Drosophila melanogaster: one gene and its partners. The protein of the gene in region 1 interacts with the protein of each later gene in a pairwise test. Each region holds a gene or a part of one and is shown in the gene's direction. Other genes may lie near its edges. The genes, in order: AOX1, toy, Lim1 and CG4250.

Region 1 (9,864 bases):
ACCTCCAAACTGGTGCTGGGTGGTTTTATCCTAAAAGCCTATCCAAAGGACAGATTCCTGTTTAGATCTTATAAGGTGGATGAACTTATTCCTAAAAATATGAATTTAGTTAACTGAATCAATCTCCTCTCCAAACAATAGATCTTGCCCAGAGCGCAGAATGTTCATGCTTATGTGAATGCAGGCTTCCTCATTGAATGGCAGGACATTCAGCACAGGATTGTCCACTCCGCACGCATATGTTTCGGCAACATTCGACCAGATTACATACACGATGACCAAGTGGAGCAACTGCTTCCTGGCAGGGATCTGTACGATCCCGCCACAGTTGCGCAGATCTTTCAGGAACTCCCAGCTAGCTTGCAACCCGAGGAGCGTCCTCCGGAGGCCTCCCCGGAATATCGCCAAATGCTAGCCTGCTCCTTGCTTTACAAGTTTCTGCTGGCCACCGCACCCAAGGAGCGAGTTCGGGAGCGTTTTCGGACTGGAGGCTTGCTACTGGAGAGACCACTTTCCTCGGGAAGCCAATCCTTTGAGACGATTAAAAAAAACTATCCCGTCACGCAACCAGTTCAAAAACTAGAAGGTACATCGTTTAAGAAAACCCTTTTCCATACGTGGTATTATTATTATCGATTTGGATTTCCAGGTCTCATTCAGTGCTCTGGCGAGGCCACGTATATGAACGATCTACTGACAACCTCAAATGCCGTCCATTGTGCGTTTGTAACTGCGAAGAGAGTGGGTGCCACCATTGAGCAGATCGATCCTTCTGCTGCCCTTCAGTGCAAGGGAGTGGTGGCCTTCTATTCGGCCGAAGATATCCCAGGCTCCAACAACTTCGTTCTGGTGAATCAGCTTACACCTGAAGTGGACGAGGTCTTTGTTGCCGGGCGAGTCAAATACTTTGATCAACCGTTGGGAGTCATCGCAGCTCTCACCCATGATGCGGCTGTCTATGCTGCCACATTGGTTGTGGTCACATATGCCCGGGATCAGCGAAAGATCTTCACGACCATGAACCAAGTGTTAGCGGAAAAGCAAACCGATCGGATTGTGAGCACGAAGAAGGATACCGTGGAACCCCTAAAGCTGCCTCCTCTCGCACCTGGCGATGTTCTTGGCAGAGGGATCCTGGAGCTTGCGTCCCAATACCACTTCACTATGGAACCACAAACAACCATCGTGGTGCCGCTTGATAACATTCTGCAGGTATACTGCGCCACCCAATGGATGGACGCCACCCAAGGAGCGATTGCCCACATGTTGAAAGTTAGTGTGAACTCCATTCAGCTCCAAGTTAGACGAGTGGGTGGAGCGTATGGTGCAAAGGTCACTAGAGGCAATATAGTTGCTTGCGCCACGGCTTTGGTGGCTTCAAAGCTAAGGAGACCTGCCAGATTTGTCCAGACCATAGAGTCCATGATGGAGACCATTGGCAAACGATGGGCCTGCAGATCGGACTACGAGTTCCGAGCCAGAGCCAATGGATCCATTATCATGTTGAGTAATAACTACTATGAGGATTCCGGATGTAATCTAAATGAGAACGTCGTTGACTTCCTGACTCTGCCAATTCTGAGGAATGTTTACAATCTGACTGACGCGAACTATAGGACCCAAGGCAGTGCCATCAGAACGGATGCACCCAGCTCCACTTGGTGTCGAGCTCCTGGTTCCGCAGAGGGTAAGTCAAAAACCATTTAAAAAGGTTTACAGTATTTACATATACAATATCGTTCACATTCACAGGAATCGCCATGACGGAGACCGCTTTGGAGCACATAGCCTTCACCTGCCAGCTAGATCCTGCCGACGTTCGTTTGGTAAATCTTCAGCCCGGAAATAAAATGGTGCAGCTGCTGCCAAAGTTCCTGGCCTCCACAGAGTACCACAAGCGGCGGGACCAGATTAACTTATTCAACTCCCAGAACCGATGGCGCAAACGAGGTCTGGGATTGGCCCTAATGAGTTTCCCGCTGAACACGACCGTGGCCTTCAACTATCCGGTCACAGTGGCCATCTATCATGAGGACGGGTCGGTGGTGATCTCTCACGGAGGCATTGAGATTGGCCAAGGAGTGAACACCAAGGCGGCCCAGGTGGCAGCATTCGTGCTGGGTGTTCCGTTGGACCAGGTGAGAGTCGAGGCCAGCAATACTGTAAACGGAGCCAACTCCATGCTGACGGCCAACTCGATGACCAGCGAGATGATCGGATTGGCAGTGAGAAAAGCCTGCGACACTCTAAACAAGCGACTGGCTCCGGTGAAGGAAAGACTCGGACCTCGGGCCTCCTGGGTGCAGGTGCTCCAAGCGGCCTTTTTGCAGTCCGTGTTTCTCATCGCCACGGAATCTTACCGGTTGGGGGATATCCCCAACTACAACATCTTCGGGTTGAGTCTCACCGAACTGGAACTGGACATTCTGACGGGCAACCATCTGATCCGCCGGGTTGACATCCTAGAGGATGCCGGGGAAAGCCTGAGTCCACATATAGATGTGGGTCAAGTGGAGGGCGCTTTTGTCATGGGTTTGGGATACTATCTCACCGAGCAGCTGGTTTACGATCGTCAGACAGGTCAGATTCTGACAAACCGCACCTGGAACTACCACCCACCAGGCGCCAAGGATATCCCGATAGACTTTCGCATCGAGTTGCTCCAGAAGAGTCCCAACCCCGTGGGCTTTATGCGATCCAAGGCCACGGGTGAGCCTGCTCTGTGTCTGGCTGTCGGAGCTCTGTTCGCCATGCAACACGCCATCCAGTCGGCCAGGAACGATGCGGGTCTTCCGAGGGAGTGGGTTCGCTTGGGGGCACCAACGACGCCGGAAACGGTCGTCCTTAACTCCGGAAGCCAGGTGGAAGCATTCGCCTTGTAATGAAATGAAGTTCTGGCTTAGATTTGGGTATTTTTCGATATTTCATTTGGTGTACTGCTTCGATCTTTTGATTTCTTTATCTGTATTATGTAATTTATCTTACTAAATAAATATAGAATCGTGTGGAAATCGTTTGAAGTTTTGAAGAATCGTTCTCCTGTTATATAATTCCTAATAGAATTGTATACATATGTACATATATGTTTTGAAGAAATCTTTCGCTCATAAGGCACCACTCTGTTTATAGGACTAGTTCCCCTTATTCCGAACATAATCTCGCCGTTTTGTTTAGAAATATGAGCAAAACAAAAACGTCGAAACAAGCCGTTTACTGATAAAGCTTTCAGTTCCAAAACCGAGGGAGAGTATTTGAAACCGGCAGACGATAACGTTTCAGAGTGCTACGATGATCTAATGCTGAATTGTGAGCGCAGTATATGGAACATGGTAGTTAAGAGCGGGGAGCAGGTGAACTTGAACTTGGAGAGGCGGGAGTCTCTTTCGAGGGCCGGAGAACCACTATATATATGGGGCTACGGAAGGCCCATACCCTCAGTCGCTCGCAGTTCGGCGTGGAATCAAACGAGGCTGACAAGTGGACTCATTGCCACATATTGTGAAATAACATAGTTTCCAGAACCCACTATAACCATCCAAATAATTCTGAACACCCGCGTCAATTGAAGGCGAGAAAGGCTGCAATTAATTTCACAACGATTCCCGGACGGCTTTTAAGTGATTCAAGGGACTTATATAATTCACAGATAATGGCTGGAAGAATTACAATCAACGGCACCAGCCACGAAGGTGTGTATGCATGTGTGGGCAGTTAATTGCCTATGGATTGATGGGGGCTGGCATCTACAAGATTGCCGAGACAACGAACTGGAACACCAGGGTCGAGAAATTCGACTACTAAATACCTGCTAGTTAGATGAGAGTTGCGACGACCTTGTGAAAAGCTTGGTGAATTACTTCTGAGTAAAACATGGCTAGACTCGTTTCCAAAACAGTTGTAACAATATTTTATAGGGTTCCATTTCATTTTGCTAATTTATTTTCATTAGCCCATCAGAGCACTTCTACAAACTGAGAGGTACTGAATATCAATTACAAGCATTTTCTTCTAAAATATTTAAATAATAGCTCAGCAGCAATCGTTAGCTCATAAGAAGCAGATATCGCAAACAATTGTTCTTTGACATGTTGTGAGGAATTAGGCTACTCGATAAGATAACACCCGGATTGTGTAGACACTTATGCCTCCGTTTGCTTGTGCCCCCTAGTCAACCTGTCTGCCCTGCCGGCGGATATCTCGCTGAACACTTTCATCCGAGAGTATGCCGGATTAACGGGCACGAAGTTCATGTGCCAGGAGGGCGGATGCGGCGTCTGCGTCTGCACCCTGACTGGGATTCATCCGGAGACCGGAGAGCTGCGCACCTGGGCGGTCAACTCGTGCCTCACGCTGCTGAATACGTGCTTGGGCCTGGAGGTGACCACTTCGGAGGGATTGGGCAACAAGCGGGTCGGCTACCATGCCATCCAGCAGCGACTGGCCAAGATGAACGGCACCCAGTGCGGCTACTGCTCGCCGGGAATCGTGATGAACATGTACGGCCTGCTGAAGTCCAAGGGCGGCAAGGTCACAATGGAGGAGGTGGAGAACTCCTTTGGAGGCAACATCTGTCGCTGCACTGGCTATCGTCCCATTCTTGACGCCATGAAATCCTTTGCCGTGGACAGCAACATCCAGGTACCAGCTGAGTGCATTGACATTGAAGACCTGAGCACCAAAAAGTGTCCCAAGACCGGCCAAACCTGCTCCGGCAGCTGCAAGAAGCAGCAGCCCAAGGGCAGCCAACTGTATCCGGATGGCAGCCGCTGGAGTTGGCCAGTGAGTCTGGGTGACCTCTTTGCCGCTCTGCAGGGAGCAGTCAAAGAGAAGCTGCCCTACATGCTGGTGGCTGGAAATACGGCCCACGGCGTCTACAGACGTAGTCCGGACATAAAGGCATTCATCGATGTTTCCGGCTTGGCGGAGCTCAAGGGTCATAAGCTGAGCGCAGATAACTCATCCCTAACTCTCGGTGGAAATCTGAGTCTCAGTGAAACCATGGAGCTGTGTCGCCAGTTGGAGAACACGAAGGGCTTCGAGTATTTGTCTCAGGTGTGGCAACACCTCGATTGGATCGCTAATGTTCCAGTGCGCAATGTAAGTCAAATCCAAGAGGTTTGAAAGCCCTCGACCCTTATCTAATCAGGCCAACAATGAAAACACCTTGAGCACCTTGTGTTTATCAACCCATTTCGCATTAACCCAGGCTGGCACCTTGGCGGGCAATCTGTCCATCAAGCATGCCCACCCGGAGTTCCCCTCGGATGTGTTCATCGTCCTGGAGGCCCTAGATGCTCAAGTGATTGTCCAGGAGGCGGTGGACAAGCAGCAGACTGTCAGCCTGGCCAGCTATCTGGGCTCTTCCATGGAGGGAAAGATTATCCGTGGTCTGGTGCTGCGCGCGTATCCCAAGGAGCGGTTTGCATTTGACTCCTACAAGGTGAGTGCAAATTATGGAGTATTCGAAGTAGTGAAGTGCAGTACAATTTCTTATCAACGAAAGTAATGCGACTTTACAAATGTCTTGTAAGTTTTTAGAAATGCGAAAAAAACGAGCAATTACGACACTTTGGGGTGATTATCTCAAAGCTGATAAGATAGCCATTCTTTCATTTACAAATCATTTAAAATTGAATATATTTTAATTTTACTCTTTTAACAGATTATGCCCCGTGCGCAGAATGCCCATGCCTATGTGAACGCTGCTTTCCTCGTGGAGTTCACGGCAGACGCCAAGGTGAAATCAGCTCGCATTTGCTTCGGTGGCATCCATCCCGAATTCGTGCATGCCACAGCGATTGAAAACTTGATTCGGGACAAGAATCCCTTCGAGAACGGATTGGTGGAGAAGGCCTTCGGGCAGCTGTCCACCCTGCTTCAGCCAGATGCCGTTCTTCCGGATGCTTCACCCGTCTACCGACGCAAGTTGGCCTGTGGTCTTTTCTACAAGTTCCTCTTGAAGATAGCGGCTCAGCGAAAGCAGGGTTTGGGCAGTCGATTCGTCACAGGCGGTTCTCTCCTGAAACGTCCCGTTTCAAGTGGCCAGCAGAGTTTTGAGACCTTCCAGGAGCACTACCCGGTGACCAAGGCAACAGAGAAGCATGAGGGTCTGATCCAGTGCTCTGGCGAAGCCACCTACTCCAACGATCTGCCCACCCAGCACAACCAGTTGTGGGCTGCGTTTGTCATCGCGAAGAAGGTGGGCGCAAAAGTCACCAAGGTGGATACGCAACCGGCTCTGGATCTACCCGGGGTGGTGGCGTACCTCGATGCCAAGGACATTCCGGGACCGAACTACGTTGGGCCCAAAATCCGGGACCAGTTTTTCTTCCCCAAGGATGAGGAACTATTCGCCACGGGAGAGATTAAGTTTTATGGTCAGCCCGTGGGCATAATCCTAGCCAACTCCAATTCGCTGGCCAATCGGGCAGCAGAGCTGGTGAAACTGACCTACGAGGGCGGAGCGGAAGAAATACTACCCTCCTTGAAGGCAGTGCTAGACAAAGTTGGATCCGAAGCTGGCAATAACAAGCGGTTGGAGCAGCCCATCAAGTCCACCATCGATGTCCTCCAGCTGGAGGAACCCTTTGATGTGAGCTCCTCCGGCCAACTGGATATGGGACTCCAGTACCACTACTACATGGAACCGCAGACAACAGTGGTTCTGCCCTTCGAGGGCGGCTTGCAGGTGTACGCTGCCACCCAGTGGATGGACCTAACCCAGGACACCATCGCCAATGTGCTGAACCTCAAGTCCAACGATGTTCAGGTAAAGACGCGTCGTATTGGAGGAGGATATGGAGGCAAAGCCACACGATGCAATCTGGCTGCTGCCGCTGCTGCTCTGGCTGCTCACAAGCTGAACAGACCCATTAGATTCGTCCAGTCCTTGGAGTCCATCATGACCAGTCTGGGCAAACGCTGGGCCTTCCATTGCGACTACGACTTTTTCGTTCAGAAATCCGGAAAGATCTCCGGTATCGTTAGTCGATTCTACGAGGATGCTGGATATCTGGCCAACGAATCACCCATTGGTCATACCGTTTTGCTATCCAAGAATTGCTACGAGTTCAGCGACAACTACAAACTGGATGGCTACCTAGTCTGCACGGATTCGCCATCGAATACTCCGTGCCGTGCTCCTGGCTCCGTGGAGGGTATTGCAATGATGGAAAATATCATCGAGCACATCGCCTTCGAGACTGGAGTGGATCCGGCTGACGTGCGATTCGCCAATTTGCTACCCGCCCATAAAATGGGCGACATGATGCCGCGATTCCTGGAAAGTACCAAGTACAGGGAACGGAAGGCGGAGGCTATAGCCCACAACAAGGAGAACCGCTGGCACAAGCGCGGATTGGGTTTGTGTATCATGGAGTACCAGATCGGTTACTTCGGACAATACCCCGCTACGGTGGCTATCTACCACAGCGATGGCACCGTGGTGGTTTCCCATGGAGGCATTGAAATGGGTCAAGGTGAGTGATGGTCCTTGGGTAAAGAAGCTGGTCTTAAACTTTTGTATCTCTTTGCTAGGCATGAACACCAAGATCTCGCAGGTGGCGGCCCACACCCTAGGCATTCCGATGGAACAGGTACGCATCGAGGCCAGCGATACCATCAACGGAGCCAACTCCATGGTCACTGGAGGGGCTGTGGGCAGTGAAACCCTCTGCTTTGCAGTCCGCAAGGCGTGCGAGACTCTAAATGAACGATTGAAGCCCGTGCGCGAGGAGGTGAAGCCCGAGAATTGGCAGGACCTCATCCAGGAGGCCTACAACCGCAAGATCAATCTGATCGCCAGCGATCAGTGCAAGCAGGGCGACATGGATCCGTACTCCGTATGCGGTCTCTGCCTCACCGAGGTGGAGTTGGATGTCCTCACCGGTAACTACATTGTGGGCCGAGTGGACATCCTGGAGGACACTGGTGAGAGTCTGAATCCCAATGTGGATATTGGCCAGATCGAGGGTGCATTCATGATGGGCTTGGGCTACTGGACCAGCGAGCAAGTGATTGCGGATCCGAAGACGGGCGAGTGTCTCACGAATCGTACCTGGACGTATAAGCCACCAGGAGCTAAGGACATACCCACTGATCTGCGCATCGAGCTGCTCCCCAAGAGTCCCAACAAGGCGGGCTTCATGAGATCCAAGGGTGAGTATCTATCTACAGCATGGTTGTGAATCCAGCTAACTGGGACTTCTTTATCCTTAGCCACCGGAGAGCCAGCCATCTGTTTGTCCATCGCAGTCGCCTTTGCCCTGCAGCAGGCCCTGCAATCAGCTCGCGATGACGCCGGCGTGCCCAAGTCTTGGGTGACCCTCACCGCCCCGATGACCCCCGAGCACCTGGTCCTCCACTCGGGCACCGAGCCCAGCCAGTTCAAGCTGAACTAGGTGGAGAAGAAGAATGTGGACTCGTATCCCTGACCGTGGGACATGGCACGTGGCCACGATGGGAACGCTCCGATAAGCACGCCAAGATAACCTGCACTTACACCCCCACTTAACCTGGCGGATCCGCCGACTCTAGACTAGCCGACATTGTGTTGTCTGCACAATAAATTAAAAACTTATCCAACGCTTAATCCAAATGACATTCATTGCCAGCCAGCCGTCGGCCTGGGTCAACAGAAGCCCCTGTCCAGAGCTCCAGGCATTCGGAATTTACATTTTCCGGGCTCTTGCTTAATGCTTAACACCTCAACACGCGGACACACCCCGCCAAGAGGTCTTCATTAATTTTAACATAAATTGTTGTATAGAAATTTTATGCCACACGAAGCGTTAAGTGTGATCTGGCCAAAAGGTCGAGGGCGGGGTGGACGCGGAAAAGGAAGGCGGGGGCAGCAGTTGCCTTGCGGTCGTGGCAGAAGGACCTAATGGATTTTTCAAATATCGCCAACTGCTGTGCCCTTAATGAGCACATCCCTGACGACATTGTTCAATTGACACACTTATAATGAATGTGGCAGCTTTAATTGGGGGAGTTTAAGATCCCTGTGGTTTCGGGATATAGCATACCAGTTATAATTAATAATATCAAACGAGGTATGGTTGCTACAGTTAAACCAGGTAGCGCTATACATATAAGCTCTCTCACTTCCCAAGAAATCATATGTTTATAAACATTAGCCGCAGCTTTTTATGTTCCTAGAAGAAACTGTTATTACAGTTAAATATACATACTTTGTCTAGGCAATAAATAGGCGAATTTCCCCTAGCAAAACCTCCAGACTTCACTAGAAAATGGAACTAAGTGGGTTCATATTCGTAGCACTGCTCAATTTCATTCCCTTTGGATGCAGCAAGTTGGTTGATTTTTGCCAGCTGCCTTACTGCGGTACAAATAACCTAGCCTGTAATAACCCATCGGTGAGTGGAGTACAATCTGAAGAAACTACATCCGTGAAATTGTGTATTTGCTCAGAAATTCAGCGTCATGTGTCCACCGAATGCCAGAACTCTTTCCATGTCGACCTACAGGAATTTATTACTAATTGCCTTCAATGAGTTTCGCAATTATACGGCGAGCGGGAAGCAAAAGTATCTCAAGGCAGCGGCGGCACGAATGTCCCGATTGAGTTACTCAATGGAACTGGAGGACTTAGCCCGACTGGCGGTCATCACGTGCTCCACGCACAAGTTTTGCCTGAACTCACAGGAGTTCTATTACGTGGGTACCAATATAGGTTCCACCCACTATTTGGGTAACTTGAACGACTACGAGGACCTAGAACTCATGTTGCGGATAATACAGCATTGGACCAGATATGCGGATTATGTCAACATTAAAATGGGTGTCTATATGCCGACAACTTTGGGGAAAAGGTGAGATATATATTAATAAGCCAATTAATAG
Region 2 (7,073 bases), on another chromosome or scaffold:
TTTTGAAATTAAACGTTTACAATTAAAGCGTCAAAACTGTAACGCAGCGACCAAGGTGTATATTCAGTGCGTCGTGGGAGAAACGTGCTCTGCGATTGAAATACCTGTATACCTCCTTAGTTATGAGTATCAAATTTTGTTATTAAGTGTTGTTACTGTATTTAAATTAATACTGCAAAGGACTAGAATTAGAATAATGACATAAAAGGCGCAACTTATAAGCCACATATTTTAACAAATATATTTCAAATTATGTCCTTGACTTGCAGAAATATTCTTAGGGGCTTATTTTAGAGTAACTCTCAGCAGGAGAATAATAATGTTTGGACTATTAAGCCTATAGAGTATGAGATTAGGCATGTATAGTATGGATACGATTACGGTGTGCAAGTTTGGTTTAAAAGGTTGCCACGCCCAGTGTAACGGTCCAAACCGCGCAAAGCTGTTACTCACGCATGTGAAAATTGTTTGACTTATATTTCATTTCATTATTTTATCTTGTCAATTCCAATACATTTGACAATTAAAAGTTAAAATATCTACGCTGCGCTACCACTAGCTGAGGTGATCAACTATAACCTACTCTCTTGTGAAAGAAGCAGCGCAAGTTTGTTGACCCATGTTGCCACGCCCACTCTACCGCCCACAAACCAGAATATCATGAATATCATATCATCATACTAGCTGAGTAACGGGTATCTGATAGTCGGGGAACTCGTGTTCTCTCTTGTTAAATATAAAATATTACTTAATCACATATTTTTATATAACCAATCCAAATTGAACGTATTGTCGTCTGCCTTCACTATTAATGTAACTGTGGAAGTATGCGAAGGTAACTACTTCGACTTATGCACTAAGCAAATGGTACCGAAAGAGAAAAAAGAAACTTGATTAAATGAAAGACAGGTAAAAATACCGAGATGGAATAAAATTTTTCCCGGCTTTCTCATACCTGTTACCTAGCTAAATTAAGCCACCTCTAAGGGAGAGATTCGCAGAGCGCCAAGCCCTCTATTCACCTAGCGACCGTTTTCATTTCGTACAAGTCTATTTATATATGATTATTAATTATATTTATACATTTATTTTAGCGTTTATTTTATCGAAATATTTTTCGGAAGTCTGGGCCTGTCAGCTCTGGGCGGTTTTTGGGCAAATCGATAAAAATGTACAAAACTAATACAAATATGATATAATTTCAAAACATTTTTCAAAAGTGTGGGCGTGGCGGTTTTGGGCGATTTGTGGGAGTTGACGATATGGGTCAACAAACTTGAGCCGCGTCTATGTCTCTAATCTATATGCCTAATCTCAACCTGTTAGCTTATATATTTCCTGAGATTTCGACGTTAATACGGACGGATAGGGCTAGATCGACTCGGCTAGTGGCCCTGACCAAGAATACAGATACTTTATGTAGGCGCTTCCTTCTGACATTCTATTTTACACATTGATAAAGATATTGAAATTAAAAAAACATCAAACAAAATGTAGGCTTTAGAGTAGACGTGGCTAAATTATTGTTTAGCATATCGATAGAGACTCTACTAGTAAGTAGGTACGCAAGAAAAATCAAATATCATGAGTGCAAAATTTAATGGTTATATGCATTTGTTGCAGCCCAGACACTACGCTAAATAATATAAATTAAGGTATTTTCACACATTCCAGGAAAATCAGATTCGTCACCTTTACAATGCGCCATGAAATTTTTGGCACACGCAATAGGAATGACAAAAAGGCGATTCAAGAATATGCCCCTTTGAAGAAGCCCAGCACACTGGATGCCGGCACTACAATAATGGAAATTGTGGTGGAAGGGGAAATAGATTCGTTGATGCGTGTGACTTCAAAAATCCAAAAAACGTGTCGGACAGGATGTTGAGAGCAAGTAAGCTCAGTGGTGGCTTTTTGGGGTGGTTTAGGTTTTGAATGCTGTTACTTGGGGGTTTAATTTCTGTAAATAATAGATATCGAAAATGTAAATACAAGCAGAAGTAGCAGAACAGACAATTTATGTATTTACATATTTAATATTTTGTATAGATATACAACAAAAAATTTACAAATACTAAATACTCTTTAAAGTTAACAATACAAACTTCATCTCAAGCCCAAGTCACGCAGATCACGCTACAGGTAAGGCAAGGCATTTTGAACTCCTGATACTGTTTGACCTTCCTGAATACGTTTTTATTGCTGTTCAATTTTAAATTTAAATTAAAACTAATAAAATGCACTCATAGTTTTTATATGTGAATGTATTTTTGTATATTAACACAACCGACATCAGAAATATAATAATACTTAACGTAAAGATGGGGAATTGATACAGGGCAATAAATAACTAGTCGTTCTATACTTTTTTAAAACAAAGGTATGGCAAACGATTAGATTGTATGTTATTCAGAATGATCAGATTCTTAAACTTTTGGATACATGGTTATATAATCAAATATTTTAGGGATTAAGTGCATTAAACATGATAAAATATCATCACAACCAAACATATGCATACAATGATGAATAAGACTTACACATATACACAACCATCTATGTTTATATAAATTCAGTTTTATTTTCCAGCGTTATTATCGCTGAATCCATAATGTTAAAGTTGCCCACGATATATTTAACAACCAACCAAAACTTCAAAAAGATTTTCAAGCGGATAGGGTACACTTTTCTTTCTTCCATAGCCGTCTCTTTCCTACGCAACTCCTATTTGCCAGATGTGCGCACGATGGATTTTGTTGTAATGCCTCTCTTCCTCATGTCTCTATAGCTATCTCTTTTCACGGCACGGAAAACAGCAACGTTGTTAGCTATCGCTGACTGCAAATGAAAAGAGACAACTAGAGCAACGCCGCCAAAATGGCTGGCCGATGTGTTAGCCGTTGCTCTTGCCAGTGTTTTTTCGCATGAGAGCTCATTAACGTTTCGCTTGGCTAAGTGCGCACCTCGTCACTGAAACCAGTTAGCAAAAGAAATTTTTGTTCAAGCTTAAACCGATACCTACGTCACTATTCGATCATTTTGAATGCAAATTATTCCCAGATTAATAAACTAGGTCGCCATCCGTGGCGCTGCCGCCGGGCTGCGGACCCGTACTTTCGACGGAAAATATCGGGACCATTTTCATAAACGATCTATGATACAGTTTTAAAACACTTTAACGCTTTCCATCGTGCACACTTAAAACAAAACTCATAAAGTGAAAGTTCATATCCTGGCAAGTAAAAAGTGATAAATGTTAAAACGTCTGAAGTGATAGTCTGGAGTTTGATTACCAGGTGAAGAAGATAATATATATGGGATGTACAAAGTTGGCAACGAAGCCCCCCTTCTAACAACAATGAAAAAGGGAGTAATCCTACTTTCTCACTTTCAATAATAAACATACGCACGTCAGCCACCGTCGAAGTCTCCAACGCCGCATTAAAAATAATTAATTATGATGCTAACAACTGAACACATAATGCATGGGCATCCCCACTCGTCAGTCGGGCAGAGTACTCTATTTGGGTGCTCCACGGCGGGCCATAGCGGAATAAATCAGCTGGGCGGCGTATATGTTAATGGCCGGCCACTGCCCGATTCAACGCGTCAAAAAATTGTCGAATTGGCTCATTCCGGCGCACGTCCTTGTGATATTTCAAGAATACTACAAGTGTCCAACGGTTGCGTAAGCAAAATTTTGGGCAGGTGAGGCATTTCGAGTGCATAATGACATTTTCTTAACTAAACAGGAACTACGAAAGTAGCCTCCAACAAACAAACTGCTCAGCTAAAATTTCTGACTTCGGACTTTATTATATAAGCACTGCGTTTAAACCAGGGAGTGATATTAAATTTGGAAAATATGAAAGATTCGATTATTATACCCGTTACTCAAAGAGTCAAAAGGTATATTAGATTTGTTGAAAAGTATGCAACAGGAAGAAGGATGCGTTCCCGACCATATGAAGTATGTATATATTCCGTCTGTCCGTATGAATGTCTCGATCTCAGGAACTATAAAAGCTAGATGGTTGGAATTAGGCATACTGATTGTAGAGATATGGACGTAGCGCAAGTTTGTTGACCCATATTGCCAACACTTTTAAAAAAAGTGTTGATTTTTAATCGTTTTATTGTTTGTCTTCTATCGGTATACCAAAAACACTTTCGCCACACCCCTTCTTACACCAACAAAACGCAAAAAACGGATCCCAGAAAAATAACACAATTTTGCTTTCGTATTTAGTCGTATAGTCGGGGAATTCGACTATAGCATTCTCTCTGTTTTTGGTAAGTTAATGGCCTTACTAACGTTTCAGTAGTTTCTATATGCATAAGATCCGAATGCCTCCTAGTCTATTTCGTATCAACTAACCAATGATCGTAAGACTGCGTATGATTAAAGAGAACTTGCTTAGCATCTGTTTTGCGAGTAGCCAAATTTGTTTGTTGGAAGAACCTCTTTACGGCGTTATTGGTGTCCGTATTGCAAGTGCTGTCCATTGTACAACACTAACAAATACATTTCTCCCCTGGCTTCTAATTAATACTTATGTTATTTTGTTTAGCATATATTCTATATTCAATCCTATATGCCATTCGCAAAATATTTATATACCGGCTGCATTTAACTAATTTAATGTCTACAACTGAAAGTGTTGACTGTTGACGCTGAGGTTTGCTTATAGTTTTTATTATCTCGACGCTAAACATTTCGACGGCGTTTAGCATTGTCACCACTAATGAATCGCTGCGCTTTTCTTTTTACAAGTTGCAGCTCGCATTTACAAGCACTGCACTCCGAATTGTTTTTTTGTGCTCATCTAACATTTTGGAAAGAGGATTTTTCAATCAATACTAGAGGAATGTCCTTTTTTACTTTACTATAAGCACTGCTCTTCCCGAGAATATTTACGGCTTTCGACTACTAAGTTACATAATTGGAACTAATCAGATATTAGCAGTTCTATTATAAATACTTTAGAGTAAGAAAATCAATGATTTTCGTAATATGAAAATTTGAAATCAGGCCCCCATCCCAATCTCTCATTGTGTGACTCTGATTATTGAAACACATTCACCATTTATGATCATAATACATAAAAATCAAAATCATATCTTAAGAAGAACGTATTTTTAAATTCTCTGTTCTTTGCAAAATAAGAAAATATACAGCCAAATCTAAATTGATTGTATATTCATTGTTTATTCTATTATCTACTTTTAATGACTACTCAGATAAAATGTAAATAAGTTTATTTTTTTTAGATATTATGAAACTGGATCGATAAAACCTCGAGCTATAGGTGGTTCAAAGCCACGAGTAGCTACAACCCCGGTTGTGCAAAAAATTGCAGATTACAAACGGGAATGTCCCAGCATATTTGCGTGGGAAATACGAGATCGACTGCTATCGGAACAAGTTTGCAATAGTGATAACATTCCAAGTGTAAGTTATATTTTGCGCACATAATAATATTTCTGCACGTGCTAATAAAAGTTCTAACATACCATTTTAAGCGTTTTCGATCCTTAAAAATATATATGTATATTCATGATCAGGATCTAGGACCAGTCCGTACCTCTCTTTCTGTCTTACGTTAAAAATTTTAGAAGTTTAAAGCTGAAAGATTGTTTCAAACTAACTTTCTAATAGAGCCTTATAGCTTTAAGCTATTTATAGTTGTTTTCCTGTTCTCTTAAAAACTCTGATCTGACTAATAAAAGTTCTAACATACCATTTTAAGCGTTTTCGATCCTTAAAAATATATATGTATATTCATGATCAGGATGGATCTAGGACCAGTCTGTACCTCTCTTTCTGTCTTAAGTTAAAAATTTTAGAAGTTTAAAGCTGGAAGATTGTTTCAAACGAATTTTCTAATAGAGCCTTATAGCTTTAAGCTATTTATAGTTGTTTTCCTGTTCTCTTAAAAACTCTGATTAATGATACAGTTACTCGTAGAGTAAAATGGTATACTGGATTCGTTGAAAATAACATTACAGGTAGAAGACAGCGTTCGCGATTTTATAAAGTATATATTCCTAAACAGTCCATACAAACGCTGTGATCTCGGGAAGTAAAAAAGCTGAGATATTATGCATGCAGATTCTAGTAAAGCAGAAATGTGTCATTACAGAGTCATTACACAGAAGCCAAAACGTCAGGTCCATCCTTTGAAAATGTTGTTCAATATTTTTTATTGTTTTTCATTGCAATTTTTATCGGTACACCAAATGAATATTGAAAATCTGTTAAAAATCATGCAACTGATAGAATGAAACCTACATCGTATATGTACACAAAACTAACCCGCTACTCGTAGAGCAAAAGGGTAATCTTGATTCGTCGAAATGACGTGTAACTGGTAGATCTGACCATGCCCGTCTGTCCGTCCGTATGGCCGTATGAAACGCTAATAAAAGTTAAGATAAGGCATGCAGATTCCAGAGGCAAAAACGCAGCGTAAGTTTGTTTAACGATGTTGCCACGCCCATAGCCCACAAAAAACTCCCACGCTCACACTTGTACAAATTTAAAAAATTCTCTTTTGTTTAAATTAGAATCACCAGCTGAGTCGATCTGGCATGCCCGTCAGTCGCCCGCTTGTAACACTGGATCGATCTAATCATGACTACCTGTCCATTACTCTGTATAAACGTCGGAATCTCGGAAACCATATTATTTGGGCGGTTACAGTACTATTAATGAGCTAAATTTTGAAAATATCAATTTTCAATAACGCAAAGGAAGCTAGCTTCGGAAATATGAAGTTTTGAGATATTTTGCGTTTGAGAAAGGGCGTCACGAGAGAAATCCCAGTTTAAGATGGCTTTAATAGTTTCAAAGGCTATAAGCAAGGGTGTACAAGGATTAAATAATTTTGGGACAAACCCAATTCGTTCTTTTTAAAATAGATTATGAAAAGGATATTTTCGACAGTCTCATGGCATTTTCTGGGGTTTATTTGTTTTTCGATAGTATGCTCTAGTTATAATAATCAGTATAAAAACATGTCCATTATTCAGGTAAATAAGGGTACATTTTTTCTTTTTAGGTTCTTAGCTAG
Region 3 (7,429 bases), on another chromosome or scaffold:
TGGCGCGTCGCGAAGTTCGTCGCGCTTTTCTTGCCTTTCATGATTTTCTTGCTTTTATTGTTGATTTTGTTGTGGCCATCGACCTGCCACCCCCACTGCCGCCCCATTTAGGTGGGCGGTGCTGTTTCTGCAGTGTGGGCGTGGCAGTTAGCTGCGGCTTATCACGGCCTGTCCAACATTTTCTTACCGCTACTTGTTTGTTTTCGGTCGAGTAGTCGTTTTTTTTTTGCAATCCCCTCACCAAAAGTCCGAATATTTTGGTACCTGGCCAGATTTAAAATATTTATTTTTCCTTTAAAACCGACATCTAAAGTAATATCTAAAGTAATAGTGACTGTGGCTTGGATTTGAACAATTATTCGTTAAATGGGGTTCATTTGATTTCAGAAAGAGTATTCAAGAACATTGTTTTAAAACTGTTGTGCTCCTGCTTGTTTTTCGTTGCTACTGCGATTTTTTGATAACTGACATTTGTTGGCAAAGGTGGAAGGAAGGAGGTGGGTTAAGTGGAGATGAGGACAGGACGCCAAGTGAAGCTAGAGGGGATGCAAAAAGGAAGCAGAGGAACCTGAGCAGTTACAGAAGCCAAAGGTAAAGGTAATGTTAAGGCAAAGCCAAAGGTAACGAGCGCGGCTGAATGAGATGACAGATTAGGGATCACAATGTGCTGTGGGTGGATCCCCAGCTTGGCTCTTATCCTCTATTCCTTATACCCAAGACATTCTCCTTTTCCTTGTGTTCTTTTGGGGTCTTGAATGTAAATAACTTGTTGCTTGCCAAAAAGTGTATTATAAATATCTTATTCCTCGAGAGTAGTTATGTAAGTGTTTTTGCTTCAATATCCTTTTTATTCCATTCCTATTATGTCCTCATCCCTTTTGCTCTTACTAAATTTGGGGCAAAGCAGTTTTCAAGGCCGTCAAAGATCAACTGATTTCGATAACTTTTCGATAGCGCAGAACAAGTGAAAAGTGACACGCACACGCAAAAACAAAAAGCAAGCACTTCACAGCTTAACACCCTAATGTGCAATATTTTTGACTACCCCACATCCACGCACACAGCAAACGGCGCTCTTTAACCCACCACAGCCCCCTTATTTTGTGTCGAACATCTTCTTCTTCCTATCGAAGTGTGAGTGAGAGGGAAGACCGTAAGGAGTGAATGAGAGCGGGAGCCTCCTCCCCGACCTTTATAATGCGTTCTCTTTTACTCTCACTTATTTTATGCATTTTTTTTATTTTATCCAGTTTTGTCTTTTCTTGTTGTTTGTTTAGATCTTTGGCATTTTTGCAATTTGAATCCTATATTATTTCTTATGGTTTTTATTGGTTTTTGTATTGGTTTATTTTTACGATAAGTGTCTTGCTATAGATTTATCTAAATCGAAAGCTTATTAAAATTGCATTTGTTAAAGAAAAAGAAAAAGATATAATATTTTGCACAATTTTAAATGTTTTTTTCTACTAATTTTTTGTTACTTGCAATTTATCTAACACTTTTTCTTTGCTTTTTTTTCTTCGCCTCCGTTTTTTTTTCTTGCTGTCTCCAGTGCGTTAAAACGCCAAAGGGGCGTCCCTCTCCAGCTAACGCCCCCACCACCCCCCGCCACTAGTGCTCTCCCTTTCGCACTGCTAACGACAAGTGACAAACACAAGTTGCAGAAGAGGCAGCCGAACAAAAACAACAACTAAAAATAAAAAAGAAGGAAAGAAAAAAGTTTTTGCGACCAACAGTTGACAGTCGAAAAGCATTTGACATTTTACCTTGGCACGCACACAAGCACCGCCAAGTGCGAAAGGGACAAAACGCGGGCAAATGTCACTTTGAAAAATGCCATTGGCCCGGCCAGCGAGTGTGAGCGAGAGGGCGCGACGGCCGGAGAGCGTGAGAGCGAGAGAGCGCCATTTTGCGCATCTCTCAATGAAGCAACAATAAAAAAACCAGTTGCTTAGCAACGCCCCCTCTAACCGCAAAAAAGAGAGCTGGAGAGCAGGAGAGCCAGTGTTGCAACAACAATGGGCAAAATGGAAGGGCAACAACAGCAACAAAAACCAAAAATATCCTTACAGGAACAACGCCAGCACCAATCTTGAGAAAAGGATCAAAAGCCCAAGATCAACAGAAGAATGTGTGTAGAATTTAAAAAAAAAGTGAATTTTTGGATTTTTAAAATCTTATGAATCTAACAAGCATCTAGTAAGGCTAACTAAATATTTAGTTATCATGCTAAATATATCAAAATTTTCAAAGAACTTATATTGTGTATTATCGAACAATCACCTAAATTAAATCCTAAAAAAGGAAAAAAAATTAAGATTTCTTGATATTTTTTTCCAATTGTTATGAAATTGTATATCCTTTTCCAAAATATTTTTAATAATAATCTAGATATGCATACCAAATATTCTAGTCATATTTTTTCCATTTTTTTAGAAAACGTTTTGAAAAACAATTTTTTTATTTAAGAATAATATGATTTCTTCATGCCCAACACGAGAGAGCCAGGAGAAGCGACGGAAGCGAGAGCGAGAGAGCCTGCGACTCCATTGCAGCGCCGCCAGCAGCGCAGTCGGCGTCGCAGCAGCCCCAGCTCAACATTCGCTGCATCTCGCTCTGGCGCAGGCGAAATATGCGAGCACTGCTTGCCGCATTCGGTAGCACGAGTGCGAGCGATGCGCCTGCTAGCATCTCGCTCGCACCCAGGCGCGCCATTCGTCGCCGCTTCGGCTCGCCGTTCGTGTGTGTGCGTGTGCGCTCGGCTGGCAGCTATCGGTAATCGGGCCGTCCGCTTTGCCGTCGCGTTTGCCGTTTTCCGTTTTCAGTTTTTGTTTGACGTTCGCGTGAAGCGCCCGCAAAACGCAAAGCGCACGAGGCAACGCTCGAAAAAGGAGCCAACGCAGCCGTTTACCGTTAGTCAGCTGTTTACCGTTCCGCCGCGAGATCGAAAACCGAGAATTTTTGCCGTTGTTCAAATTTTTTTGCAAGTGAGAATCTTGAACAACAAGAAGAATATACAACACATAAATACAACAAAACCAAGGAATCGCCGAAAAGCCGATAGTGCAAAGTGTTTAAAAAGAAAAGAATCAATTTCATATACAACAACTAAAGAAATACTGGAATATAAGGCATAATAGAAGCGGAGGAAGTTTCTTCAACTCAAAGAGGAGCGGAATTTCGCGCTTTGTTTTTGTTTTGCCAAATTTGCCGCCGGCACACACGTGCTATCCCCCTCTTGCTCGCACCTTGCCACCCAGTCTTTATGTGCGTTAACCGTTAAGTGTGCAGTTGGGGCCCGCTCCTATCTTTCTCTCCCTCTCTCTCTCGCTTCCGCACCCGCACACACACACATATATCCACACCCACGCGCGCCTCGTTCACATACGCACACACACGCGGGACTTAACCCATTGACGGCCCCCCCAAAAAAGCAGTCACTCTTAACCCCCCCGAAAAAAAGAAAAACTCCATCCCCCCGGCATCAAGATATTCGACAACAAAATTCTCACCGAGGCCTCAAAAGCGCCCCTGAGGGCCGTCGCACTGGCGTCATATCTGGGCGACGGGTTCGCCGCCCTCGGTAGCCGCGCCCCCCCGCCCAAGGACCATCTGATGGCGTTCGGGGCGGTACTACACACCAGCCAGCACAATATCGGTAAGTGATCGTTTTGGGGAATTTAGGCATTAAGCGGTTAAGGGTCCAGGAAAACATAGAAAATCTGGGGGGTTTGCAGTGAGAATCCCAAACAGGCAAGTTCTTAAGGTTAGTCACATATAGGATACTGCAATCGAAATCATTTCATCCAAGAATCAGCACTAAATCTTTGAGTTGTGCTTGTAGTTCTATAGAATAATATCATTGGGAAGTCAAGGATGAAACATTTTACAGATCGAAAATAGAAGTTGTTTACATCTAATCTAGATTAAGTAATATTCATGATGTCCTCTATCGAAATAGAATGAAAACACCTGTTTGTAGGCTTCGTATAATATTTAAATTGTTTATAAAATCTGTAGACGAGTGATCAATGACACCAATGACACATTTCAAAAATACTTTTAAAAGATGGCAAAGAAGTGAATTTTCGAAAAATGTACTGACAAAAAAGTGGAATCTATTAAAAATGGCTTGATCGCTATGCCGACGGGATGTGGTCTTAGATTTTCAACTGGTGGTAGAAAGACATAAGAAAAGTAGGGTCGAGTGCGGTCGAAAGTCCTTAAAAGGAAGTCAACCCCTTGAAGGATCGGCGAAATGCGATCCCTAGGATGGTGGGTTAATACAATACCGCTTGCCCGCAATGGGTTAAGATGGCCAAGGAGTTTTTAATGGCGACGGCTGGGCAGCAGCAAAGTTTTTGCACTTTTGAACTTGCTTCCCGTTTTTAGGGGACCGCCGGCGAGGAGGAGAGGGGCGTCTAATGCCCCGTCGTCCATCTGCCGTCTCTTTTTCGCATTACCATTTTGTATGCTTTTGAAGTTCTTGTTCATCTGTTTTTGTTTCGGTTTTGTTTTTCCTCCTCTTGTTTTCCCGTTCGTTTTTGGACTGAAAAACTTTTGCGCAGTTGTCAAAGTTTTTCAGCTTCTTCTTCTGCCGTTCTTCCTCTACCCCATCTCATTTTTTTTGGCTTTTGTTTTATTTCATTTGCTCTCTGTCAAATTTTCACTTTTGCTGACTGTTTAATGTCAGGAACAAAAAAAAAAAAAAAAAAAAAAAATAGTAAAAAGGGAGCAAAAAGTTCAGAAATGAAGGCTCCCCTCTAGTTTTGTATTTTGTGATTAGTTGGTGAGGAATATTTCGTTTATATGTATGTATGTAGCTCCCCATCAATTTGAATAACTATAAAAAACATTTATAAACTACAAAATTAAGGATCTGCAGAGATTTAGAGACCGAACACTCTTTTCGAGTATATTTTGGATTCTTATCAAAAGAAATGAAATGAGAAATGATTTAAGTACATATTAGTAAAAATGTAGTAAGGTATTTTATACCACAAAAAATTTTTCAAAAATATTCTAAAATCCTCAATAGCTTCGTTTTCGAACCAGTGAGGTTCGATGGAAATTGCAACTGCAAATTCTCCATTTAACTTGTTGACATTGGACATACAGCGGCCGACACCTTACTTCCCCCATAAATTGGCTAGAGAACTGTTGGGGTTTTTGGGCTTGGGGCCTGCAGCTCCGGGGGCGGTTCAAGTCAAAAGCTGTCGACATTTGACTGGAAAATGGATGTTCAGGAAGCCGTAGACCCGCACAGTGGGCCACCTTACGACGGCGGACTGATGCCAAGTGGAGTCGTAAAGCTGCCAAGCTTTCTTCTTCCTGCTTCTACTGTTTCTCGGTTGGATTTTTTTGTTTTTGTTTTATTTCTCGCTCATAGACATACCCATTAGCTAATGACTAAGTGTTGGCAGTTATGAACTTAACTTGCATTTAGTTGGGGAAAACTACAAAGTAAAGTACCACTGAATATAACTCGGCTTAATGAAGATAACTTTTCCGCGCAGTAGCTGTATCTTTTTTCGAAAGTTCGTAAAGTAATTTGGAATCAGGAAAGATATCCAATTTTTTATGGTATAGTTAAGGTTTTGAAATGAGATGGAAAAAATGTATTGGAAATACTTAAGATAGGATACCAATTTAGGTCGTTGAATCTTTGGTAATGTGTTTATTCTTAAGGAATTTAGTTTTCAAAACTTCAATAGAATAGGGTAACCCCTCGTCGTTCAATTACCAATATCATCGGCCATTTCTCTGGTCGACTGCTCATTTTTCTTCGCATATATCTTGGTGGCAGCATCTTTTCAATTTTTATGTTGCTGCTAGCGAACACGGCAGCAACATGCAGCAACAGCAACGTGCAGCAACAGCAACGTGCAACAGCAGCAACGTGCAACAGCAGCAGCAGCAGCAACAAAAGCTCAGACCGGCAACGCCTTCGACAAAAGTTTGCGCTGCTGTTCATCAACATTTATGACTGGCCACAAAGGAAGATCATTACGATCCCGAAGATTACGATTATGGGGTGTAGTAGGCTCATGCATACATATGTATATACTCGAATGTATGCAGGCAGGATGGGATCGTGGGGTCTGTGGCTCCTCTGTTTCTGTGCAACATTATTTCCGTGGAAGCTTTTGTCCAAGGAAATGTGATTTTTCTAGCCGTTTTTAGACCTGCGCTGTTGGACATTTACGACGACAGCAACGTGGACTCAACTGCAGCTTCAACTTGTCCATCAACGGCTCTATGGATCCTTTCGTTGATTTATGGGGCAAGAAGCAAGAAGCGTAGACACGGCAGCCGTGCTTATGCAGCTGCCGCATTTAGCAACTTCAAACTGCAAGTCGACAGTGAGGGGTTAAGGTCTAGTTCCAGGGCGTGGCACGGCCCATAAATTGCCATGCATAATGAGGCGTTGAGACCCTCTCTTCTTGTCAATATATTGTGCGATTTTCACTGCCTTCTCCGGTGGTCGGTCGCCAAACTATCGCTGGCTGGAACAAAGAAACACACACACACACACACACAAAATTGGTAATTGGAAACCCGTTTCTCGATCAACGCCACTTTCAAATTAAAAGTCATTACAATAAAGTCGCTCGATCCAAGACGCAGATTGGCGGAAGTCAGCCGAAGAGTCTAATAAAACAAAATCGAGGCGGTTTTAGAACTTTGTAGAACAGCAAACTAAATTATACATCTTTTCTTAGCGTGCCTTCAGTTTTTATATGAAGAAATCCATTATTACAAATCTAAAATACTTTTATGTTTTTAATTTGTTTACGTAGTTTAGGCTTAAACTGATAACCTGCCATTGTTGAGAAATTGCAATGCCTTTATTTGAATATGGACAATATGAAATCCTTTACCATAGTCCATTTGATCGCCCCCTCTCGCTCTTGTCACCGCTCTCCATCTCTGTCTGACGCCTGTCGCCGTCTCTGTCTCCGTGTCTGTTCCTGTCCTCTGTCCCTGTCTTCTGTCCCGTGCTATGAGAGTTATGAGGGGCCCCCCAACTGTTGGGAACTTTTCAATTTCTGCAATCCGGGGCTTGGCCCAAACCAAAGCGAACCGAAACCGAGCCACAAACTGAAACTGAAACTTGGCCGATGGTATAAGGCAACGTCGTCGCCTGTGTCCCCTTTTGCAGCTCTGCCCCCTTGCAGCGCCACCCCTGCAAAGAGAAGTCCCCCCGCCACCCCACGGACCGACCCTTTTTTCCCCGACTGGGAGCGCTTTTGGGTCGAAAACTGAAATAGTAATTCACATTCATGGACTTCGGTGTCTGGGCCATGGTTTTCTGGGCTTTCTGGTTCTGCCTTGGACTCGCTTCACTGTATTTTCGCGTTTTGTTTCTGCCGTTTTTTTTTTTTTTTTATGGATTTCTTGGGCCATTTTACGATTATTTTAGAGCTGT
Region 4 (5,742 bases), on another chromosome or scaffold:
TATTTCCCATCTCTATCCACCAGATGCTGGCCCTGCGTCTGCGCCCCTTGCTGCTGCAACTGTTGCTACAAGACCTCCCAGTACTGTCCCAACTGCAACTCCTGCTTGGGTTCGTTTTGAAGACGCAGCGAAAACACTCGCCGATTTCATATCATTTCATTTTATATATATGTATATATATATACATAACCAACTATACATACATATATGTATGTATGTTCATATCTCCTTATGTATCGACGGCGTCAATGTGGTGTCTTCATCACTTAACATACATAAAAATATGTTTGCTTAGTGAGCAAAATAAGCTGACAGCGAAAAAATAAACAAATAGATTTTGAAGCGAATGGAATTTTCTTTAATTTCTGTTTCTGGGTATCTGGCTACATTGTTGCTGCAGACAACTAGATTTGCAGAAAAAATAATGTGAAACTTAATTGTTCATACGTTTTTTTTTTTTGTTTTTGTGTACTTTTTGGCGGTCTTTTCCCGAAACTTTTTCGTAGCACAACTCTTTTGTGTCCAGCAATAAATGTTGATATGAAACTGTTTTGAACCGGTAAAATGTTGCTGGGACGAACCGGCATGTTGGCACAGTTTAAATTGATGCTAAGATGCTTCAAGATTACTGTTCATGCTATTAAATGAAATCACTGAAGTTCTTTGCATTATAATTGAATATTTAGTAAAATATTTGAATTTCTGCTAAATGTTTAGTTCTTAAGAAATGGAATAAAAGGATTTTAATTTAACTCAGCCTAGGGATACGCTGTAATCAATTTTAAGGATGTATATAAATATCACTTCCCAGTTAGGCAACATAATGTTGCTAACGGAAATACTTTTGGAAGTGTAGTGTCCCGCTTCGCGCCCTAAACTTCTGACCGCACAACACTTTCGCAGCCCAAACAGTGCGCATTAACTTTTTGTCTCTCTGTGAAATCGGAATTCTACTTTATTTATTTTGACAACGTACCCACCCATACAGATTGTAAGTATGACGGGAGAGATATATTATGCAAGCCTAGGATTGGGTCAAACATGAGCAACGGACTATTATAGTCAGGTCTAATTGGGTAATATCTGGTTGTTTAGATGTTTACCGCTGCTTTGCCGCTCCCCAAAAAATTTACTTTTGCTTGGGGGAGAACTCAGCAAAGACATACAGGACGACAGTAGGATTTCGGGGGGAATGTTAATCACTGGCGACGGACACACCCGCTGTTAAATAAGGATACTGTGCTGGGTGGTTTGCGCTAGTGAGAACATACATAAATAGATTGTGTTGATTTTGGATAGGACCAGACCGAGCAAGCAAGTTGCACCAAACGACGAGCAAAGATGATGGATGGAATCGGGGTTGAGCGGGGCTCAGACACACGCGGTTGTGCGATGACGGCGTCGGCACGAAGCTTGCCACATGGCACAAGAGATTCCGTGGCCCACGAGGATGACCTCACGGCGGCAGGAGGGATTGCGCAGCACCGTGGTGCCATCGACGGGAGATAAGGCGGATTACAGCTTGTTTTGCATGGCGGGTGTGCAATTAAAATCCCCATTAACCAGCCAATTTAATGCTCATGCACCAGCGGCACGCGACGTATTCAAGTTTTCAAGGTCTGCGCTGCAATCAATATGAGAGTTATTAGAGTTTCCTGTGCTTTCTTTCTGCAGCTCCGCCATCGAAATGTCCACTTCCGTTGGCCCGGAACCGTGCATCGTGGTCTGCCCCAGTTGCCGTCAACAGGTTACCACTCGTGTGGAGCCGAAAGCCACCACCAAGACTCACCTGATAGCATTGATTATGTGCCTTACCTTGTAAGCCATGTTCGATATTGATTTCTTAACATTCTGGGTGCATTCTCATTGAGTGATCTCTTTCGTGCAGCCTTTGGCCCTGCTTGCTGCCTGTACTGCACTCAATGCGCCCGGAACTCCGACCACCACTGTCCATCTTGCAACGCCTACATTGGCACCTACGAGCGCTGAGCAACTTCCGCCGGAAGTTGTTTTTTTTTTTTTGTCGTGGACTGCAGCCAGCAGCCGTGCCGAAATGCAGCCCCCATTACTTATCCCCACTTGATCTATTTTTAACTCTCTCACATTTATTACTACGCACTATTTTGATAACAAAACAAATCATTGTAGTGCCGGCATATGTATTCTTCAGCACACCAATAAAAGGGTTCAAGGAAGAAACGAGTGGATTTTACCTGGGGGTTGATTTGTTTTAGAGACAACGCAATTCTTGAGCAGAGTTGAGTATTTCTTATGTTTTCAATAAATATGCAAATTGTTGTTATATACGTGCTAATAGCATAGCTGGAAGGACCATTTCGGAAGGGTAAAAGCTACTGGTTTGTTTACCTGACAATGGAATACCCTACTAAGTGCTAACATTTCTGTTTTATTGGTAAGTTTTGATATTAATTAATTCATCATGGCTGAGCAATTTCTTACTAAAGCTTTTCATCCTGCAAAAAAAAAAGAACACTTACTCATGTAAAAGCCCTTATTCTGATAGCCACATAATATTTAACGGAAATCGCTTAGCAAGCCATCCGACATAGTAGGGCTATATAGAATTCGCATCGCGCCGCAACTCGAAAGTTCGCCGAGCAATGTTGGAGGAGCTCTCTGCGGTTTCAGTCGCTGTCGGCAATTCAAACGCGTAGCACACATCGGTCGGAATAATTAGAATGGAGAAGAACTTTCAATACGAGAATATGCAGCCTCAGGCTCCGGGTTTCCAGGCACCGCCCAGTTATGATAGCGCACCGCAGCAGGTCTATCCTCAGCTCCATCAGGGACAGGGAGTGATATTGCAGGGTGAGAATACAGAGAACTATGAATCAATCGGAAATAATGGTCAATTCTTCTGTGCAATTCAAACATAAAATATAATATCGCATATTATACGAAATCCAATCGTGCCTCTTTCAGCTCCACCCAATGTCCTGGGCCAATGTCCATCCGTTGCCACTTGTCCGAGCTGCGGCGTCCGCAGGGAGACGAAGGTGGAGTTCGAGCCCAGCACCAAGACCCACCTGTTGGCCCTACTCATCTGCATGCTGGGGTAAGTGCAGCCCGTTTGCTCCACCTGCCCGCAGGACTAATGGCCATTTTCAGGGGCATTTGCTGCTGCTGCATTCCGTACTGCACCGACTCCTGCCAGTCGGCCAAACACACCTGCACCAGCTGTGGAGCCTACGTGGGCACCTACAAGAACTAGAAGTGCTATCTCAACACCAAATATTACAGGGATAGATCCCACTTTGTATCTCCACACCTATTGATGGGATCAGATTTGGCACGAATATTCACGAAATACAACTCTGGTTCAAATCAATTGAATATATGTATGTAATTTTCGCATTGGTTTACTTTTCAAAATAAATTTCTAATCACACAAATTGTTGGCGATATATGAATGTTAACACTTTCGTATATAATATTAATAAATCCCGGAAATTTCTGAGGCGGGAATATATTATAGATATTTTTATCTGAGGTTCTGCATCCTACGCCCTTTATATAACTTCATTCACATTGTTGATCTAACAATCGCTGCCTCTTCTTGAAACTGGATATATATATATATATATATGTATATTGAACAACTTATGTCAATGAACAGTGGAAAAAGGTTTGTAATTTAATACCTAGATTTTATATTTCCCCTCTTCGAATTAAACACTAAACAAAGGAATAGGGAAGAAACAAGGTAATTTGATCGCTTATCCGTTTATTTGATTACAACTTTTTCTGCAATAATACCAATAAAAAAGATGGGCAACAATATTTAGTTAATTTCATATAATTTAAAAAATGTTGGCAACTAGTATCCAGATTAATACCTGAAATGATGCAAATTCGATGTCCAATTTTATTAACATGTTTATATAAGTAAGTTATTATTCAAGCAAGCGGATTTCATATTTGCCGAGATTCATCAGCTTCGCTGATTCCAGCAGTCAGTATTATCATTTCAGTTCAGGCAAATTGAAATGAAATGCGAGTTCAGTAAATTGAACTTGAGCTGCGCTCTAGACGTCAGCGTGAAATGGAAAACCCAGCGTAATGTTATGATCAGGGTAAAAACCAAAGAATTCCAACTCCTCCTCCTATTTCACAAACATCGCGATAATTCAGACTTCTGTACAACGATAGTTTGTGAAACGTGCAAATTCGAGTCACGAGTGTCGAAAGAAAGCGTTCTATGAGTTATGAAGACTACCATAGATGGATGTGTTATAAGATACTGGTAAATTATAGTGCTTACAATGTACGATAGATATACGATAAATAACTAATATCGCAATTATATTCCAGCAACGAATGTTTGCTCAAAAATTGGGTGCAAAGTCAAAACAATGTAGCAAAAAACATAAAAATTGATATTTGAAATTTACGCAGTTATCAACTTATTAAATCCATTCGAATACACAGTTTGCAGTTTAAAACTGATAACAGAGTGTATAAGTATATATGTAGTAGTATTTTTAAATTTCTCTGATACGCTCATGTGTATGTTTCGTTGACTTCATGAGAATTCCATGAGTCACCCAATTGCAACATGCAACCGGCAATCAAACTGCATTGCACAAAAGATAGTTGAAGCTTGGAGCTTCCAGTGAAATGTCGACAGATTCGAACTGTCCCAACTGCGATTCACATACCATGGTGAGGAGAAGTCGCCTGGCTATCTCGCGATTCAAGAAGCTTAAGATGGATTTTTGGTACTTTAGTGCACATGAGAAGATATTACTTCAACTTCAACTGAAATGTTTATATTTGCTAGTGCAATATGCTGCGGTCATCGATATTGTGGAGTCGGCATTTATGAATCCTACTACAAATGCAGTTCCTGTGGCTGGAAAGGCGATCCTAACCGATCCCCCTAAGATGGCATACGAATCTCAATCTGAAATAAAATAGGAATGCTGTTGCATTTCTGTTTACCACAGAGTGCAGATGAAATATATATACACGAGCTTTTGAGCTTTGGAAATGCACTTTGAAAAATTCCAAAGCAGCAAGCCTATACATGAACTTTAAGTGTAATATGTTTTAAGCAATAAAATACGTATTTATTTTTCCAGATGTCTGGAGCTCGGCTTGTAAAAAGAATTTAAGATAAAAGTAAGGCCTAGGGGATTTTATTTCCGGCATCTTGAATTGTTCGATATACTAGAAATACTCTTGAGAAAAGCTTGTTGATAACAGTGGGGCCTTATCAGTTCAGCTTGGACTTGTTCCTAGAATTCGGGAGTACAGTTTTGAGGCTTAATAAATAGAAGATTAAATGAACTTAGTTCTGAAAAGATGCCACGCAAAAGCACACCAGCATTCAAAGGACGGTCCGCGGAGGTTTACAAAAGTTTATCCGAACCGAAGGCTACAATTCCGAATTCTGGAGCAAAAGATACGTCCCAAGTATGTCTTAATTCCGAGGACTTCAAGTTGTCGTGGAGCCAAAGATTGTGGTTTAATACGCTGTATGTTATTCTTGAGCTAAGATTGCCTTCGTCCAGATGAAATACAGTTTCAAGTTTGTCTTATTTTAGATCCTTTTGTTGCTGCGGACAACCGATAAATAAAAATGTTAGTGATAATTTGGATGAGTAATGCAAATTCTAAAGACTTCAATAATTTGATTAAATGTATGCACATATGTAGAATATTATTAATAAAATAAATAAGTAAAGTACAATAACTGCTCTTGACTCAGCTAATCATTCT

The links.
Region 2: the proteins of AOX1 (region 1) and toy interact in a two-hybrid assay, tested with the Drosophila melanogaster proteins (one large-scale study listed by BioGRID).
Region 3: the proteins of AOX1 (region 1) and Lim1 interact in a two-hybrid assay, tested with the Drosophila melanogaster proteins (one large-scale study listed by BioGRID).
Region 4: the proteins of AOX1 (region 1) and CG4250 interact in a two-hybrid assay, tested with the Drosophila melanogaster proteins (one large-scale study listed by BioGRID).

What each region holds. Positions count from the first base shown.
Region 1 is NT_033777.3:15,530,861-15,540,724, reverse strand, and holds AOX1 (aldehyde oxidase 1), read left to right. Parts: upstream 1-3,432; 5' UTR 3,433-3,649; coding exon 3,650-3,689; intron 3,690-4,168; coding exon 4,169-5,097; intron 5,098-5,206; coding exon 5,207-5,440; intron 5,441-5,662; coding exon 5,663-7,478; intron 7,479-7,536; coding exon 7,537-8,157; intron 8,158-8,217; coding exon 8,218-8,399; 3' UTR 8,400-8,588; downstream 8,589-9,864. Other genes in the region: AOX2 (aldehyde oxidase 2), read left to right, coding at 1-75, 142-586, 650-1,687, 1,753-2,882; CG31296 (uncharacterized protein), read left to right, coding at 9,252-9,377, 9,433-9,833.
Region 2 is NC_004353.4:986,795-993,867, forward strand, and holds the start of toy (twin of eyeless), read left to right. Parts: upstream 1-2,930; 5' UTR 2,931-3,457; coding exon 3,458-3,708; intron 3,709-5,271; coding exon 5,272-5,452; intron 5,453-7,073.
Region 3 is NC_004354.4:8,801,193-8,808,621, reverse strand, and holds the start of Lim1 (LIM homeobox 1), read left to right. Parts: upstream 1-2,817; 5' UTR 2,818-3,615; coding exon 3,616-3,658; intron 3,659-7,429.
Region 4 is NT_033778.4:22,661,046-22,666,787, forward strand, and holds CG4250 (uncharacterized protein), read left to right. Parts: upstream 1-2,646; 5' UTR 2,647-2,699; coding exon 2,700-2,868; intron 2,869-2,943; coding exon 2,944-3,076; intron 3,077-3,129; coding exon 3,130-3,232; 3' UTR 3,233-3,429; downstream 3,430-5,742. Other genes in the region: CG42565 (uncharacterized protein), read left to right, coding at 24-120; CG42867 (uncharacterized protein), read left to right, coding at 4,639-4,739, 4,802-4,904.